Linked DNA regions of Kluyveromyces lactis. The protein of the gene in region 4 interacts with the protein of the main gene of each other region in a pairwise test. Links are inferred from orthologs where the notes say so. Each region holds a gene or a part of one and is shown on either strand. Other genes may lie near its edges.

The links.
Region 1: the proteins of GET3 (region 4) and TLG2 interact in a two-hybrid assay, tested with the Saccharomyces cerevisiae proteins (2 studies listed by BioGRID). The link is inferred for Kluyveromyces lactis from reciprocal best matches to the Saccharomyces cerevisiae genes GET3 and TLG2.
Region 2: the proteins of GET3 (region 4) and PEP12 interact in binary tests that used the Saccharomyces cerevisiae proteins (3 or more experiments, as listed by UniProt). The link is inferred for Kluyveromyces lactis from reciprocal best matches to the Saccharomyces cerevisiae genes GET3 and PEP12.
Region 3: the proteins of GET3 (region 4) and NYV1 interact in binary tests that used the Saccharomyces cerevisiae proteins (3 or more experiments, as listed by UniProt). The link is inferred for Kluyveromyces lactis from reciprocal best matches to the Saccharomyces cerevisiae genes GET3 and NYV1.
Region 5: the proteins of GET3 (region 4) and GEF1 interact in binary tests that used the Saccharomyces cerevisiae proteins (3 or more experiments, as listed by UniProt). The link is inferred for Kluyveromyces lactis from reciprocal best matches to the Saccharomyces cerevisiae genes GET3 and GEF1.

The regions. Positions count from the first base shown.
Region 1 is NC_006037.1:927,163-930,164, reverse strand, and holds TLG2 (t-SNARE syntaxin TLG2), read right to left. Parts: upstream 1,603-3,002; coding exon 508-1,602; downstream 1-507. Other genes in the region: KLLA0_A10703g (uncharacterized protein), read left to right, coding at 1-288; ATP-dependent RNA helicase FAL1, read left to right, coding at 1,910-3,002. UniProt on the Saccharomyces cerevisiae protein: t-SNARE that functions in transport from the endosome to the late Golgi and on the endocytic pathway.
Region 2 is NC_006041.1:1,942,518-1,945,276, reverse strand, and holds PEP12 (SNAP receptor PEP12), read right to left. Parts: upstream 1,345-2,759; coding exon 517-1,344; downstream 1-516. Other genes in the region: iron-sulfur cluster assembly protein CIA1, read left to right, coding at 1-412; BIG1 (Big1p), read right to left, coding at 1,626-2,484. UniProt on the Saccharomyces cerevisiae protein: Plays a role in the sorting and targeting of vacuolar proteases.
Region 3 is NC_006042.1:1,799,065-1,801,637, forward strand, and holds NYV1 (Nyv1p), read right to left. Parts: upstream 1,203-2,573; coding exon 507-1,202; downstream 1-506. Other genes in the region: DPB4 (DNA polymerase epsilon noncatalytic subunit), read left to right, coding at 1-400; KLLA0_F19470g (uncharacterized protein), read right to left, coding at 1,636-2,573. UniProt on the Saccharomyces cerevisiae protein: Vacuolar v-SNARE required for docking. Only involved in homotypic vacuole fusion.
Region 4 is NC_006041.1:143,500-146,327, reverse strand, and holds GET3 (guanine nucleotide exchange factor GET3), read right to left. Parts: upstream 1,562-2,828; coding exon 512-1,561; downstream 1-511. Other genes in the region: ATG16 (Atg16p), read left to right, coding at 1-59; BUG1 (Bug1p), read left to right, coding at 2,115-2,828. UniProt on the Saccharomyces cerevisiae protein: ATPase required for the post-translational delivery of tail-anchored (TA) proteins to the endoplasmic reticulum. Recognizes and selectively binds the transmembrane domain of TA proteins in the cytosol.
Region 5 is NC_006041.1:2,006,778-2,010,850, forward strand, and holds GEF1 (Gef1p), read right to left. Parts: upstream 2,781-4,073; coding exon 510-2,780; downstream 1-509. Other genes in the region: ribosome biogenesis protein URB2, read left to right, coding at 1-460; RNA binding protein SNU13, read left to right, coding at 3,385-3,765. UniProt on the Saccharomyces cerevisiae protein: Anion/proton exchange transporter involved in iron and copper cation homeostasis. Involved in intracellular iron metabolism during growth on fermentable and non fermentable carbon sources.

The DNA.
Region 1 (3,002 bases), on a different chromosome or scaffold from region 4:
TACCACCCTCCGCCACTACCAGTACAGCAACAACAACCACAACAACCACAACCTCCGTATTCGGCTGGTCCGTCTGCATCAGATTTCTTATTACAATCAAACCCTGAATTCTCCATCGGAACTGGTCCAGCATCATACGGAAATAGCCAAAGGAGTGCAGGGCTAAACTCCGCACCAGCATCTTCAATGCACTATAAACCTGCTTATAGGAAAAGGCTCCCAAGAAAAAATAACCTACCTCTGCATCCATGTCAAGAGACAGTCCCTATGGAGCATTTTAAGTTCTGATTGTAATATTCATACTGAAACCACTCACTTTTTAAACAAATTTATTCTATTTACTGTAACAGATAATATATAGACCTCCTCTCTAGTTAACTTTTTTGAACCTTTCTACTGTTACCAATTCGACAGTGGTCGTTTACTTCTATCACGATATCAAAATTTGTTTTCGAAGTTCGATGCAGTTTCTCCATCATAAGCAAGTTCATTAATATTTGACCATTTTTATTCTACATTACTTTCTGGATCCAGCAACGGGTCTCCATTAGGAGAATTGACCTCCACTTGTGATCCAGGAGGTTTGTGAGATTTTGAAGGAGCTGATTCTCGTATAGTATGGTGATGAGGTTTCAGCATGACAAGGAGGAATAACGCTAGAACGACCAAAGATAGAAATAGAATAATTTTACATTTTTGACTCCGTTTTTGGTAGTGCGTTGCCTTGTCTAACTCCTTTTGGGCCTGCTTTAATTCAATAACCGTGTTTTCTAAGTTATAATCGATCCTATCGACCACTGTACCTTGATCTATGATCAAAGACTGCATTTCCCTGAAAATAGTACTAACTTCGAGTACACCTTTCGCTAACTGTGTAATTTCCTCATCTCTTTGTTGCAAAAATTGCTGATTGTTATCCTGTAACTTCTGATTCTGTTTTTGTAAAGTCTGCTTTGAATATGAGTCGATGTTATTGACTTCATCTCCTTCAACTTCTTCCTCCAACAACATCAATGTATCGTTACTTGATTTCGTAGTGGGTAGTGGTTTGAAATCATCTTTATTCAAAAACTTCAAATGATTATTCTGTAATATTCTGAACTTCTGCGATTTGTCTTGCACTTTCAAAGCGTAGTTCTTTTCTAGGTTATCCAATATCCTTAACTCGTCCTTGCTTAGCTGCTTACCATTCGAATATTGAGAATCCTTAATTCTCGTAAGAGTCTTGATAACACCAAAACATTCTTGGAATCTCTTAATTACCTGGAAACTTATCTGCTCAATCTCCTCCTCATCCTGCTTATTGTCCTGGAATCCTGGTAAAGAGTTCTTTTGATATAGTTTCGTCAACTGTAGCAACAATTGATCTACTGCAGATAACGACTCATCCACTTGGAACGTTAAATCGAAAAATTTTGGCGGTAATTGACGGGAGAAATCATCCATAGCAACCATATCTTCATCATTGTTACCATCGTCACTACCAATGAATGGCTGGTTCTCCAAATCTTTATTCGATCGTAGATGCTTGGTACTCGAAAGCCTCTGATGGGGGAAAGTTCTCCTATAGGATAAAAACAAATTAGTTCTATCACGAAACATGGTGCAGTTCAAAAGCAAACAAGGGAAGAAAGCACGCACTACCACTAATCTGATCTAAATAATCACTAGATCGAGCCACTCGACCAGTTGTTCTGCAGTTATTTACATACACTTGTAATTTGACACCTTAAAGTGTTGTTGAACTTTCGGTTCTCAGCTTAAAACCTTTAAAAAATGGAAAATTTGGCAAGCACAACGATAAGATGAGATGCGATGAGATGCATTGAAATAGAGGCTGCAACGGTAGGTCCAAGTGAAGTGTAACCGGGAGTTACTGTTGTTAAGAAAGGGAATCATCACATCAACAATGTCGTTCAACAGAGATGATGACTCGAAGTTGAAGTTTAAGACTTCAAAGAAGCTCAAGGTATCTGCCACTTTTGAGTCGATGAACTTGAAACCGGATTTGTTACGAGGCATATATTTTTACGGCTTTGAATATCCATCATCCATTCAGTCTAGAGCCATTTCTCAGATTATCTCAGGAAAAGATGTGATTGCCCAGGCACAGTCTGGTACCGGTAAGACGGCCACATTTACCATTGGATTATTACAAGCAATTGATTCTAAGAGCAAAGAGTTACAAGCATTGGTCTTATCACCAACAAGAGAACTAGCGAGTCAAAGTGAATCTGTGATATCTAACCTAGGAGACTATTTGAACGTTACAGCACATGCGTGCACAGGAGGTAAGGCCTTACAACAAGATATCAAGAAAGTATCGAAAAATTGTCAAGTGGTCAGTGGTACACCGGGCCGTGTACTAGATATGATCAAGAGACAAGTATTGAACGTTAGAAACTGTAAGATCTTAGTTCTCGATGAAGCAGATGAACTACTCGGAGAAACTTTGGGGTTTAAACAACAAATCTACGACATTTTCACCAAGTTACCACCGACGATTCAAGTCGTGGTGGTAAGTGCTACAATGAGTAAAGATATATTAGAGATCACCAAGAAGTTCATGAGTGACCCGGTGAAGATATTGGTTAAGCGGGATGAGATATCCTTGGACGTGATAAAGCAATATTATGTGGATGTAGAAAAGGAAGAATGGAAGTTTGATACACTCTGTGATCTATACGATTCGTTAACGATAACACAATGTGTGATATTCTGTAATACAAGGAAAAAAGTGGATTGGTTATCCAGGAAGTTGACACAGACGAATTTCTCTGTGTCCTCAATGCACGGTGACATGAAACAGGAAGAACGTGATCAAGTGATGAATGATTTCAGGAGTGGAAAAGCCAGGGTGCTAATATCGACAGACGTGTGGGCTCGTGGTATCGATGTCCAGCAGATCTCATTGGTGATAAACTACGATATACCAGATAATCTAGAGAACTATATCCATCGTATTGGTAGATCCGGACGGTTTGGACGTAAAGGTGTTGCAA
Region 2 (2,759 bases), about 1.8 Mb from region 4:
GCATGAAGGGACTGTGTGGTCTTCAGATTTCGAGAAATCTAATTCCAACGTCAGGCTATGCAGTGGTAGCGATGATGGGACCGTCAGAATATGGTGTCTCGAAGATGATAACGGAGAATACGAGCAAGAATGGATCCAAGAATCAATTCTACCGAAGGCTCATACAAGGGCAGTCTACAGTGTTAACTGGAGTCCTAAGGGGTATATTGCTAGTACCGGTTCTGACGGACGTCTAGTTATATACAAGGAATCGGAAGATGGCTGGATAGTTGAGTGCATTCACGAATTAACACACGGAGTTTATGAAACAAATATGGTGAAATGGGTAGAGTATGGCTCTAAAGATGTCATCTTATTGATAACTGCTGGTGACGACGGTCATGTTAACGTATGGAAATTCGATGAGAATTAGCTTCTTTGCCGGACTTTATCAATATCTGATTTGTAACCTAGTATAACCTGCATAAAAATTACATAAAATGGAGGCATCCATGACGCCTCATGAATACCATTCATTCAACTGAAAACAGCCAGTATTGTGAGAAGAAGGAAAAACAATAGTATGAAAAGGAAATGTAGTTTTAGCTTACTTGAACTGCGTCCGGATCTCATAGCGCGAGATAACTCATTTGCTGCATTTCTGGTATTATCTTCTACATTGTACAAATTAGCTTCAATGCTATCTACTAGCTGCCCTTGCTGTTGCACTAAACCACCTAAGTCCTTGAATATGCCATTTAATTCCGTTATACCTTGTTCTATGTTTGATATCTCTTGGTCTCGTTCCCTGATCAGATGTTGCTGGTATGCAAATTCCTCATTATTTATTGGTTCTCGCTCTATAACCACCTGTGTTCTTTTTGCGTGTTCATCTTCTTCCTCTCTTAAAACAGTATCCATCAAGGAATTATTTTGTTCTTCATCTTCCAAAGCCACTTTGGCCATGTCATTTATCCGCTTTGTAACTTCAAGAAAATGTTGTTGATATTTCTTGAATTCCTGTACAGAGAATTTCGCATCCCTAGTCAACTTCTCCCTTGTGATCAAATGAGGCTTATCCAAAGCCGACTCCTCTAACTCATTAACTTTATGAATATTCTCGTTTATCGATGATACTAATTTTGTACTTTTGTCTATTAGTTCAACCGTCTTCTTATTGATATTGTCGATAACTTTAGTGTTAGATTTACCGTGGGATACATTCGTTTCCAAAGCCGTTACAAAGTGGTTCATAGTTGAAAGGCTCCCGTTCAATTCAAATAAATCTTGAGATATAGCATCGCAGCAATCTTCGAACTCAGGACTATCCCTATATTGAAGAATTTCATTGGGTGAATCTGACATATTTCTATACTGTTCAAATGCAGGTTCACTTGAATTCACCTAAGCGGTAGCAGCAAAATGCGTATCAGATTCCTTCATTTCTGGACTAAGCTTGTAGAAGACTAACCTTTTATCTTCATTGTTCTAATTTTGTAATTGATGCAAGCCTTAAAAAAATATACCAAAAAACATTTATATGAGGAAAGATGAGAAGGATGCTTAATGAAGGTGCGCGTTAAGACCTTCAGTAGTATTTCACCAGATTACTTGAATATATTTAACACTAATCTAGGAATAAAGAATTATTGGGTCTTTTTTTCCTTTGTTACGTCCTTAGTTATTTGTGGCTTTGACGGTTTCTTGACCTTAACGGCTCCTAATTGTAGTAGAATAAATGCAATTGTCACGCCAATAATAAGCACTATGATGCCGTAGTGATTATCTATGAATTCCTGATCCAGTACTGTTAAGTACTTGTCATCTTCAGTATCAATTCTTGGTCTGTAAGGGACAAGTTTTGGCATTTCCTTAGCAACTCTATCATTACGGTCGATCTCAACCTTTCGTTGTGGATTCGTAAATATTTCAGGCCAGATATCATACGATAAAGATGTCTCGGTATCTGGCACTTCACTCTTTTCCAAAGACATATAAAAAACTGTATGTTTCGGGGTTGGTAACGTTCCCATAACATATCTCAAGTATTCATCATTGGCTTGCAACACATCTTTTCTGGTCCCGATGCCCTCTACGTATTGTCCTTGCTGCGGTAAAGGTGGGAAGTCTACCCTTAGAACTCTAGTTCGGGCCTCCACAAATGGTTGATACCTGTCTGTGACATTGCCACCTATATCTATTTTATCATCAATATTACATTTATCCATTGTATAGGCGATCAATTCTTCGTAAATATCATCGTTTTGGACTATATCAATCTTTTCGAATTTCACTGTCGTGGAACTAGTTAGCACATAGTTGTATAATTTGTGCATAGATTGCTTATGCTGCTTGAAATCACTTCGACTTAAACCTGGTTGGTTTACAAATACATATGTCTCCGAATGACACTGTGAGATCAAATCCTTGGCAACTTTCAAAAAATCATCTTGTGGTAGTTGTGCATTGTCATACTTATCTTGGTATTTTACTATCCCCGGCGCTCTGAAATTTCCGAATAACTGTTAGTATCATATGTCTTCAATGCACGGTTCCTTTAGCGTTTATACAAACCGCATGGAAGCTTGGAAGCTAATAACTCTTTAAAATCAACTTACAGATTGTACGAGAACAGTAGCCCTGGAACAGATTGTTGTCTTGCAGCTAACAACGGGGTCAGTAGTAAGGCAAATACTATTAATTCATTCATGGTCATGAAGCTGGGTTGCATTGCTATCCGTACATATTTAGCGTTTTTCCGAATACTATCGTAAGTAGTC
Region 3 (2,573 bases), on a different chromosome or scaffold from region 4:
TAGAATGAACGCAAAGGATTCTAATAGAAAGAGTTGTAATGATCAGGATATCATGGCTGCTTTAGATACGTTGGGGCTAGGTGCTTTGGAGAGCATACTCACGGGAAAGATGCAGGAGTACCAGGAAGCCATACTTTGGAAGAAGCAAAATAAAGTCAATAATGCTGTGCCTGGTGCGGACGGAGACATAGCAATGGAAGATGATGAAGATGATGAAGATGACGATGGCAGAGAAGGCGCAGATGCTGACGCCGAGCCTAAATCCAGAGCTGATACTGAGGTTCAACAAGGTAACGCTGAAAATGATAAATTAGATGGGCCTCCAGTCAACCAAGAACAAGTACCTAGCACGCGCCAGAACGACCTGGATTTAAGCACAAAAAAACAGAAGACGGAATGATCGTATAATCGATTTGTGGAGAAGAGGTGGCAAGAAGTATAAGTACTATAAACAATTATACCGTTTTCGTGTGCTCATGGGTTACCTATACTTAAAAAAAATAGAACTAATGTAGTAATAATAACGACACAATCACAATAATCGCCAGTACAACTATAATGACAATGGAATAAAACTTAACGTTATTCCACCACATTTTTCTCATAATCTTAGAGGATTTCCTTTGAAATTTAAAACTATTTTCGTTCAATTGATTAGTATTATCCACAAGCAGGGATATCCTTTCCTGTCTCTGTAAAAACTTATCGATATTATCATTCATTATTGCAATAATGTTTTGTAGCTCTTCCTCAGTGGATGCAGCTGTCTGCTGTCCTTCCGTGCGATAAGATAATAATTCTTCATGGAATTTGTCCAATTGATTATCGATATTACTCTTCAAATATTCATCGTTGTCATTATTCAAACATTTTAGTTCTGATAATAACCTCAACGGTAGGAATTTGGGGACTTCTTCTTTAACAAAACAAATGAGCACTTTATTGTTCTCTGCAGTTGTATAATAGCAATCATACCCCTCTATAAGGTCGATAGACGTCTTTGTAACTTTGTTTCCCGGAAGATTCACCACTGTTCGTATTACCATATCGCCGATTAACCTGTGAAACACTGCTTTTTGATCGGCTCTCCCTTTATCAGTGCTTCCATATTTACTATTGTTTTCGTCCTTGGAGTCGTACCAGCTAGAAAGAACTCGATCTCCATCCCAAACTTCAACATATGACACACTATACCGCTTCATTGTTGTAATAATTCACCACTACTAACAGGCAATTAATCCTGAGAGTCCTTTCACAGTTTCCTTGCAACCCTTCTACCAGATGTAGCTGGTAAACATGGAAATTTGTCAGTTTTCATATTTTCAACATTCTCCAAAGGATATCATAACAGAATCAGAACCGAGACAAAATCTCTACCTCCGGCAGAAAGAAGAAAAAATGTCAGCTGAAGCCTACGGTATAGTTGTGATAACTTAATAGTCTTCTCATTTTTGATTGAAGCTGCTGATACCTAATTCACTTTTGAAGTACAGAATTATTCATATTTATATCTATTTGACATGTCTATAAATCTATCAAAGATAATGTCGATAATGACATATTCCAATGACAAATATGTATGCGTAAGTTCCTTTGTGATATTAGTATAATTGAACTATACTTACCCTCGATAACTTATGGTACAAAGGTTGGAATTTGTACGCAGGACTTAGAATCTTCTGGCCATTTGAGATACCCACTTTCCAAAAGTTCATCCAGAGTTTTGGCCTTTGTACCGGTAGCTTTGTAATAAGCGACATATCCTTCTTTTATAGCGTTGATGGCTGACCTAGCTCTAATCTGATCTCCTTTCCATTCAACACCAAAATAACCACCATTACCAGCATGTCTAATCTCACGATTTAATCGTTGAGAGTATTGGACGTCCCATGGGAATGCCAAATCATGATACTTACTTCCATCGCCACTTTTCTCGATGAACCAATCATGGTACTTCTGTTGAAGTTCCTCCGATGGAAGTTGGATTCTTCCTGACCATACTCTGCTCAACCAAGCACCTTGGGTCTCGGATAGTCTTGTAGGAAGAACAAACCTTGGTAGGCCAATAATACCGAATGTTGGCAATGATATTGGAAGAATATGGTTGTACAGGTTTTGTACTCGTCTACCATCACCAATTAAGTTGTTGAGAATGGAATTTCCGACACCAGATTCATTCTGTGGTAAAAATGGTAGGGACTTTAAGTAACCAGTACAGAAAATCACTTTTTCCACATTCTTTAATTCGGTGCCGTCAACGAAGGTAATCGATTTTGTTGACGGATTAAACTCTCTAATATCAGGCACATCTTTAATGAAAGGATCGAATGGGGCCGGTAATTTGGATTCGGATCTCTTCGACTTATAAATAGGCTTCTGTAGTTCGTTAGCCAATTCAAATGCTAAGTCTGCACCAGAAGCACTGTTACCAACAATCAAAATCTCCCCTTCTACACCATGGAAATCTTCTGGACAGTCAAAATCCTTGGCATGGGAAACGGAGCATGGGTATTTCACGTTCCATTCTTTTAAACCTGGTCTTGAAGGAATAAATGGTAGATCATAAAATCCAG
Region 4 (2,828 bases):
AACGATGGTTACTAAAAGCACAAAGAGAGGCCGATATCATGAATACGAGACTTAAATAGATATGACATACTCTATATGCCTCAAGTTATAAATGAGTTGCGAGTTTTATAAGTGATTTGAAGTTAATTCCCTGCGACTCAATGGTACATCAAATCCCAAGTGCATGAAACTCTTTAAAAATTCAGTTTTCCAAGAAATTTGCTTCAGTAGCTCAGTCGGAAGAGCGTCAGTCTCATAATCTGAAGGTCGAGAGTTCGAACCTCCCCTGGAGCATTTCAATTTACCAAAATTTTTTTAGCTTTCGGATCTTTTCGTTTACTATCACGAAGCCTGAAGTAATAATGTTTTCATGTTGCAACTAAAGTAGATGTTTAATGCTACATTATAGAGGCTAATTCGATGCAATGATTCAATTTAGAATCTGCTCTGCAATTATTTAGTGTACAAATAATAAAAAATTATAGATTGGCCGTGTAATGCTAGGTATCAATGATTCATATTTATCTTCCTTTCAGTCTTGTTGTTCCAATTCATAAATCACTTTGCTGTCTGCAACTGGATCGTATGGTTTTCTCAAGAATTGGGAGAATTTTTTCAAGTTGTTTAAACCTCTAATTTCACCTGCACACAATGGCATCTTAACGATATGGAAATCTTCGTACAATTCATCAATTTGGTCCAAATACTTCTTTTGCATCTTCCATCTGGATTGGCACCTTTTACAGCTGTCTCCTTCGTCATACTCAGCAAATAATAACTGGTTTACAATGATGGAGTTCACGTCCATATCGTATGAGATCAATTCCTGTACCAATCTTTCAGTTTCGTACAAAGACAAGAACTCACTGATACAAACACAGACAAAAGTTGTCATATCAGGATTGGTGAATTGTTCCTTGATTTTTTCCACATTAGACTTCAATTCACTCATTTTACCAACAAGATCGACGTTATTGGCACCAGCCAAAGAATTCAACATTGGTCCCAATCTTGCAGTGATTTCTCCGAATTTCTCCAAGAGTTTAGATAGAGTGCTTGGTAACTGTAAAAACCTTAGAGTGTGACCTGTTGGTGCGGTATCAAAAATAACGGTATCATACCTGTCACCTTCACCCTGTTCTTGGTTTTTGATGTGTTTCATCACTTCCATGAAAGAAAGTGCCTCATCAATACCTGGAATCGATCCTGTCAATTCAGATAGTGCACCACCTTGCAAAAGATCACTGAACTCTCCCGATCCAGTTGCATTATTGGCAACAGCCATATCATTCATATCCTTCAAAGCGGCAGAAGGGTCAATCTCCATACATGACAAGTTGTTCATCCCAGTGACTTTTCTTGCATCTTTACCAAACTTCTCACCGAAGGCGTCGCTTAAATTGTGTGCAGGATCTGTAGAAATCAATAGATATTGTTTCTCTGGTTGTGCCAAAGCCATTTGAATGGCAATCGAACAAGATGACGTCGTCTTACCGACACCACCCTTACCACCGACAAATATCCATCTGTGTGTTGAGGAAGTTATCAAAGAGTTTAGATCTGGTTCAACTGTTAAATCCATTGTACTTTTCCGCTTTACTTGGTCTCAGGTTTACACACTTACTGATTGTTATTCCTACAGTTGAAATAAGAGGGCGTCTTAGTTGTAAAACTTCTGTTTATCTACGCATGTCGCCACTAAAAGTGACAACAAATGCTAAATATCTTGCTGAAGACTTCTTCTACGTTCTTTTAAAGAACACGTCACTATATACGGTGGTGATAATAATTTGATATTTACCAATCGCATACCGAATAATAAAGAACATGGTACAAATACTTTGAGTTTGCTTCTCAAAAAGTCTTGAATCTTGTTCTCTTTCGAACCTAAATGGCTTTGAAACATTGTGAAATTAAACGATATTATTTGATCGATGTTTGCCTCAATGATGGTGATTCCTTTCTTATTAAATATGTGTGAACCATAACGACACGTTTAGATCAAAAAAAAAAGTTGCCCCATATGAAATAAGAATTTACATGGTGAATGCCAAATCTGAAACAATTGCGAGCTAAATATTAAAACCAATTGGCGTCTTCAATGCAAGTGAGTACACACATTCGAACAGTTGATTATGTCTGAACTATCCCCCGAGGAAGAAAGAGCCAGAAAGCTCGAAGAAGCCAAGATAAGGGTTGAAGAGTTAAAGAAGAAGAATAAAAACAAGAAGAATAAGAAGAAGAAGGACAAGGAAGATCTTGAAGCAGCTGAAGTCAAAACTGAAACTGAAACTGAATTGGAACCGACTGATACTAATGTATCAGAGAGTCCGGTTCATTCAGATGAACAACCAATCGTGGAAGAGACAAAAGCTGAAGAAAAGGCTGAGATAAATGCTGATGCAAAGGGCAATGACAACAACGAAGAGAAGTTTGAAAAGGAGTCTGTGGAGAAGTCTGAAAAAGAGTCTGCGGAGAACAAGAAAGACTCCGAGGAGGAAGTCCTCGAGAAGGAAGCAACTGATATACCCAACCCAACCGAGGAAGTGTCTAAAGAAGCTTTTGCAGTTCAACAAAAAGAGGAAGAACCAATAGAGGCAAAAAGTACAGATGAAGTTGAAGAATTGTTTGGCGGGAATGATGATAAAGAGAAAGATTTCCTTTCGACGATACAAGAACAGAAAAGCCAAGATGAAGTAATAAACCTCAAGGAAGAAGTTTCAAAGCTAAAAGATCAAGTAAAGCAATTGAAGTTTGTCAACATAGATCAAGAAAGCTCCATAGAAGAGCTTGAAGAACAGATAAACATCATGAAATCTCAACTCAATGATAAAACTGTACAATTGCTG
Region 5 (4,073 bases), about 1.9 Mb from region 4:
CTCTTCATTGCTATTATTTCATCGTTATAAGTTATCCAATCGTACTCATTTGATCAACATTGTTATCTGCCAATTACTGGAGTTACTATCAGATGCTAAGCAATACGCTCTATCGGTTGAATCAGCGAAAGCAGTATCAAGATTCATATGTAACTATTGTGAGCCTGCAAATGTGAGAAGCAGTAAGCAGACGACATTGTCCTCGGCTGTTTCTAATGTTAAAAGATCGCTAAGAAAGAATCTGCCAGTTGTTCTTCTACAATTCATCAAATTATCAGTTTCAAAACCATATCCCACCACGATAAAGAAAGAGTTGATGCTCGCAGTATACGCTATTTTTGATCTTCTGTCGCAGACTGAAATGAACTTGCTTAATGCTAGCTTGGACAGTAACGGCAGATCATATTTCAAGACATTACATGCGGACTACAAGAAAAGTGGCAAATGGCATGATGATTGAAAAGTGGCAAATGGCATGATGATTGAAAAGTCCTAATCATTTTATAAAGTTATGTTCTTCTACATTTATCTATATACCATTCAATTAGTCGTATTGCCTTCCTATCAATTCTATCATCAAACGCATATAGAGGACCAAAGTATTCTTTATGTTTAATTCTCATGAAATGCAAGACATCTTTCTTAGTGACTAATCCGGCCATGGTTCCGCCATTCTCTACTATAATAGTTGAGCAGCCCAATTTCTGGAACATCATGAAAAGTATACTCAACGGAGTAGACGGACTAACAGTAATCGGGGTATAATTGATTTTTGATGTTAACGATTCATCTCCACATTTTCTGAAATCAATGATATCGTCGGGAGATCCAGTAGTGGCATCTAAGAAATAGCGAGCGTACTTTGTTAATATAAAGCCAGAGCATGTCGAATCACCTTTGGAACAGCTGCTGGTGATCGGAAGACCGCTAAATTCGGCTGCTGGTCCATCTATCAAATTTTGCAGATCTTGACGAGTCATTTTTTCATTCACGTAGACTAGTTCTTTCGTCATGATGTCATCTGCATAAAAGTCATCCATGAATTCGTGATCCCCTTTCTGCTCTTCCATCAATGGGAATCCATTAACTATAATCATTTGGTCAGCAATTCCTCCCTCGGCACCAAAGGAGGAACAGATAATTCTAGTGAAAGCAACAACTACCATGGTAGGAAGAATATACGTAAATGCACCCGTGACCTCAAACATGATCACCACCACTGTTAGAGTTAGATTTGTTATACCACTTAATGCTGCAGTTGCACCAAGGAAAGCATAAGTTCCCGGTGTAATGACATTTGGTCCAGTAATATAACGCTCTACTATTAAACTTACAGCCCTTCCAAAAGTTGCACCAACAGCCATTGAGGGAACAAAAATTCCGGCAGGTACTCTACAGCCGTACGAAGCAACGATTAGCAGGGCTCGCACTACAGTTGCAAAGAGTAACGAAAGCAATAAATTGATGAACGAGATGAATGAGGCCTCGTTGTCAATTGTACAAAGTCTATGCGACCATAATGATCCTTTCTCATTAGTTTGACACTCATGAAATAAAATTTCCATAGATTCTGTCATGTCAAGTTTCAAGAACTCGTTGAAATAAGAGATAATGGCAGTAACAAACGTTAGTATGACAACTTCCTGTAACGGCCATCTTGAGAGATATTTCTTTCTAAAAGAAACGTAATGCACATTCCATCTGCTTATGTATTTGCCATATAAACCACCAAAAATTCCAAGAAGGATGAATATTGGGATTTCTTCCACATGCCATTCTCTATCATAGGTGACTTCAAAAACAACGATCTTACCATTTCTAGATGGATCAATATATTGTAGAGCAGAAATACCTGCCAGAGCAATATAATACGACTTCCACAAGGCAGATAACTTGAAAGGAATAGAAGCTGACATCTCTTCAAGTGCAAATAAGACACCTCCAATAGGTGCACCAAAAGCTACTGCAACACCACCTGCCGTCGAAGCTGTCAAGTATTCGGATTGTTCTGGGAAGGCCATCTCCTTGCTCAAGAGCCAATTAGTAATTACATAACCACAACAGGTAGCATAGTGAACAGATGGTCCCTCTTTACCAACACTTAAATCAGAAGAAATGGCAAGCGGTAAAGCGACAGATTTTACTATAAGGGTCTTCAAATTCAAAAACTCCGGGGTATATTGGAAACCTGATACCCAGGATTTAATTTCTGAAATACCAGATCCAGTGGCAAACGGTGCAATGTGTAGGACCATCAGACAACTAATAGTTGCAAATGTGACCGATAAGAACATGAATAGCAAAAATGAAAAGATTGGATTGGTTGCTTCTACCCAAATACCTTTTTCGATACATTCGCTTTGGGATCTTTTAAAGAATATTTCTGCGGCATTGCCAGCCGAACTTATTATGGAACCATAACTCCTTTTACTGATCTCTTCTTTAGGACAGCAGAATGCCTTGTTTAACAACCAATTTCTAGCACAATGTCCAGATTTCCAGTTTACTAACAATTCAGTGAATATTTGTAAAAAACCAGCAATACCGCCAATGGAAAGCCCAATGGCAGTCAAAGTAATGAAACTGCTACCTCTTTTCCATATTAACCTGCGGTACTCATACCAACTCGAACGCGGTATATCAAATTCGTCATGCGATGTTCCCTTGGACAATTCACGCTTCTCTTCCTCAATCCAATCCACAGAAGTGAACTTATCGAAATTACCGACTTCTGGTATATTTCGCAGAGCCTGCTCCTCATTTACCTCTTGGTCAGTCATAGCTAGCTATTGCTCATCAATTGGGTCATACCTAAGTCAAGGGCAATACTATGAGTTTATTCATAAATGAGTTGATAAATTTACATATTGTAATACGTACATTTTTCAATACAAAGAAATATGCACCTTTGAAATTAGGTAAAGAACTGAGAGTGAAAGCAGCTCTTCCTGGGGAAGTATGAAGCATACGATGGGGAACAACAACTACAGACTGCGTGTTTTAGACCATAATAGAGTACTATAGCAATGGCGGAGAATGGCCAAATGATCACAATAGGAGGAATGTATATCGTTCTTCTGAATTAATATAGTGAAACAGCCGTACATTACACCAGTTTGTGATCCCATTTGTTTCTTTTTGCTCATCAGTCGAGGAATTCGAAAATTTTCAAAAATTGAAAAACTAAAGAAAATGATTTCAAGAGACTAACCTCATCTCATCTCGTTCCATCTCATCTCACTTTATGATAAAACTTTTTTTAGACTTGGACTTGATCCGATCTTATTTCTAGTCTTAAAACACCAGATTCAAGCGAGCTTTTCATTCTTGCAAGGAACTTGAACTGACCCAATCGGATACTTCACTTCATATTATAAAGAAATAATGTCTGCTCCAAACCCAAAGGCTTTCCCATTGGCTGATGCCACCTTGTCCCAACAAATCTTGGATGTTGTTCAACAAGCTTCCAACATGAGACAATTGAAGAAGGGTGCTAACGAAGCTACCAAGACTTTGAACCGTGGTATTTCCGAATTCATTATCATGGCTGCTGACTGTGAACCTATTGAAATCTTGTTGCACTTGCCATTGTTGTGTGAAGATAAGAACGTTCCATACGTCTTTGTTCCATCCAGAACTGCTTTGGGTAGAGCTTGTGGTGTTTCCAGACCAGTTATTGCTGCTTCTATTACCACTAACGATGCTTCTGCTATCAAAAGCCAAATCTATGCCGTTAAGGACAAGATTGAAACTTTGTTGATTTAAGAAGGATTTGCACATTTCGTGATTTCCTTTTCTTATTCTTTATATCAATCGTTTAAGGAGTTAACCGCTTTGTGGGGGGTTTGCATAGCAAAGAAAAGATTTACTGCACGTTCATTGATTCAAGTGATCGACAGGTAGATTTTTTTTTTACGACCTCTGTATATTAAACATATATATTACAATTAATACAACTTTTTGATACATTTGCATCCTTCTTAACAATGACATCAACATCTGATGGTTCTAGTTAGTGGTCAGTACATAGTTTTTTTTTGTCTGTTCAAATTAAGAAATGGTTACAGGCCTGT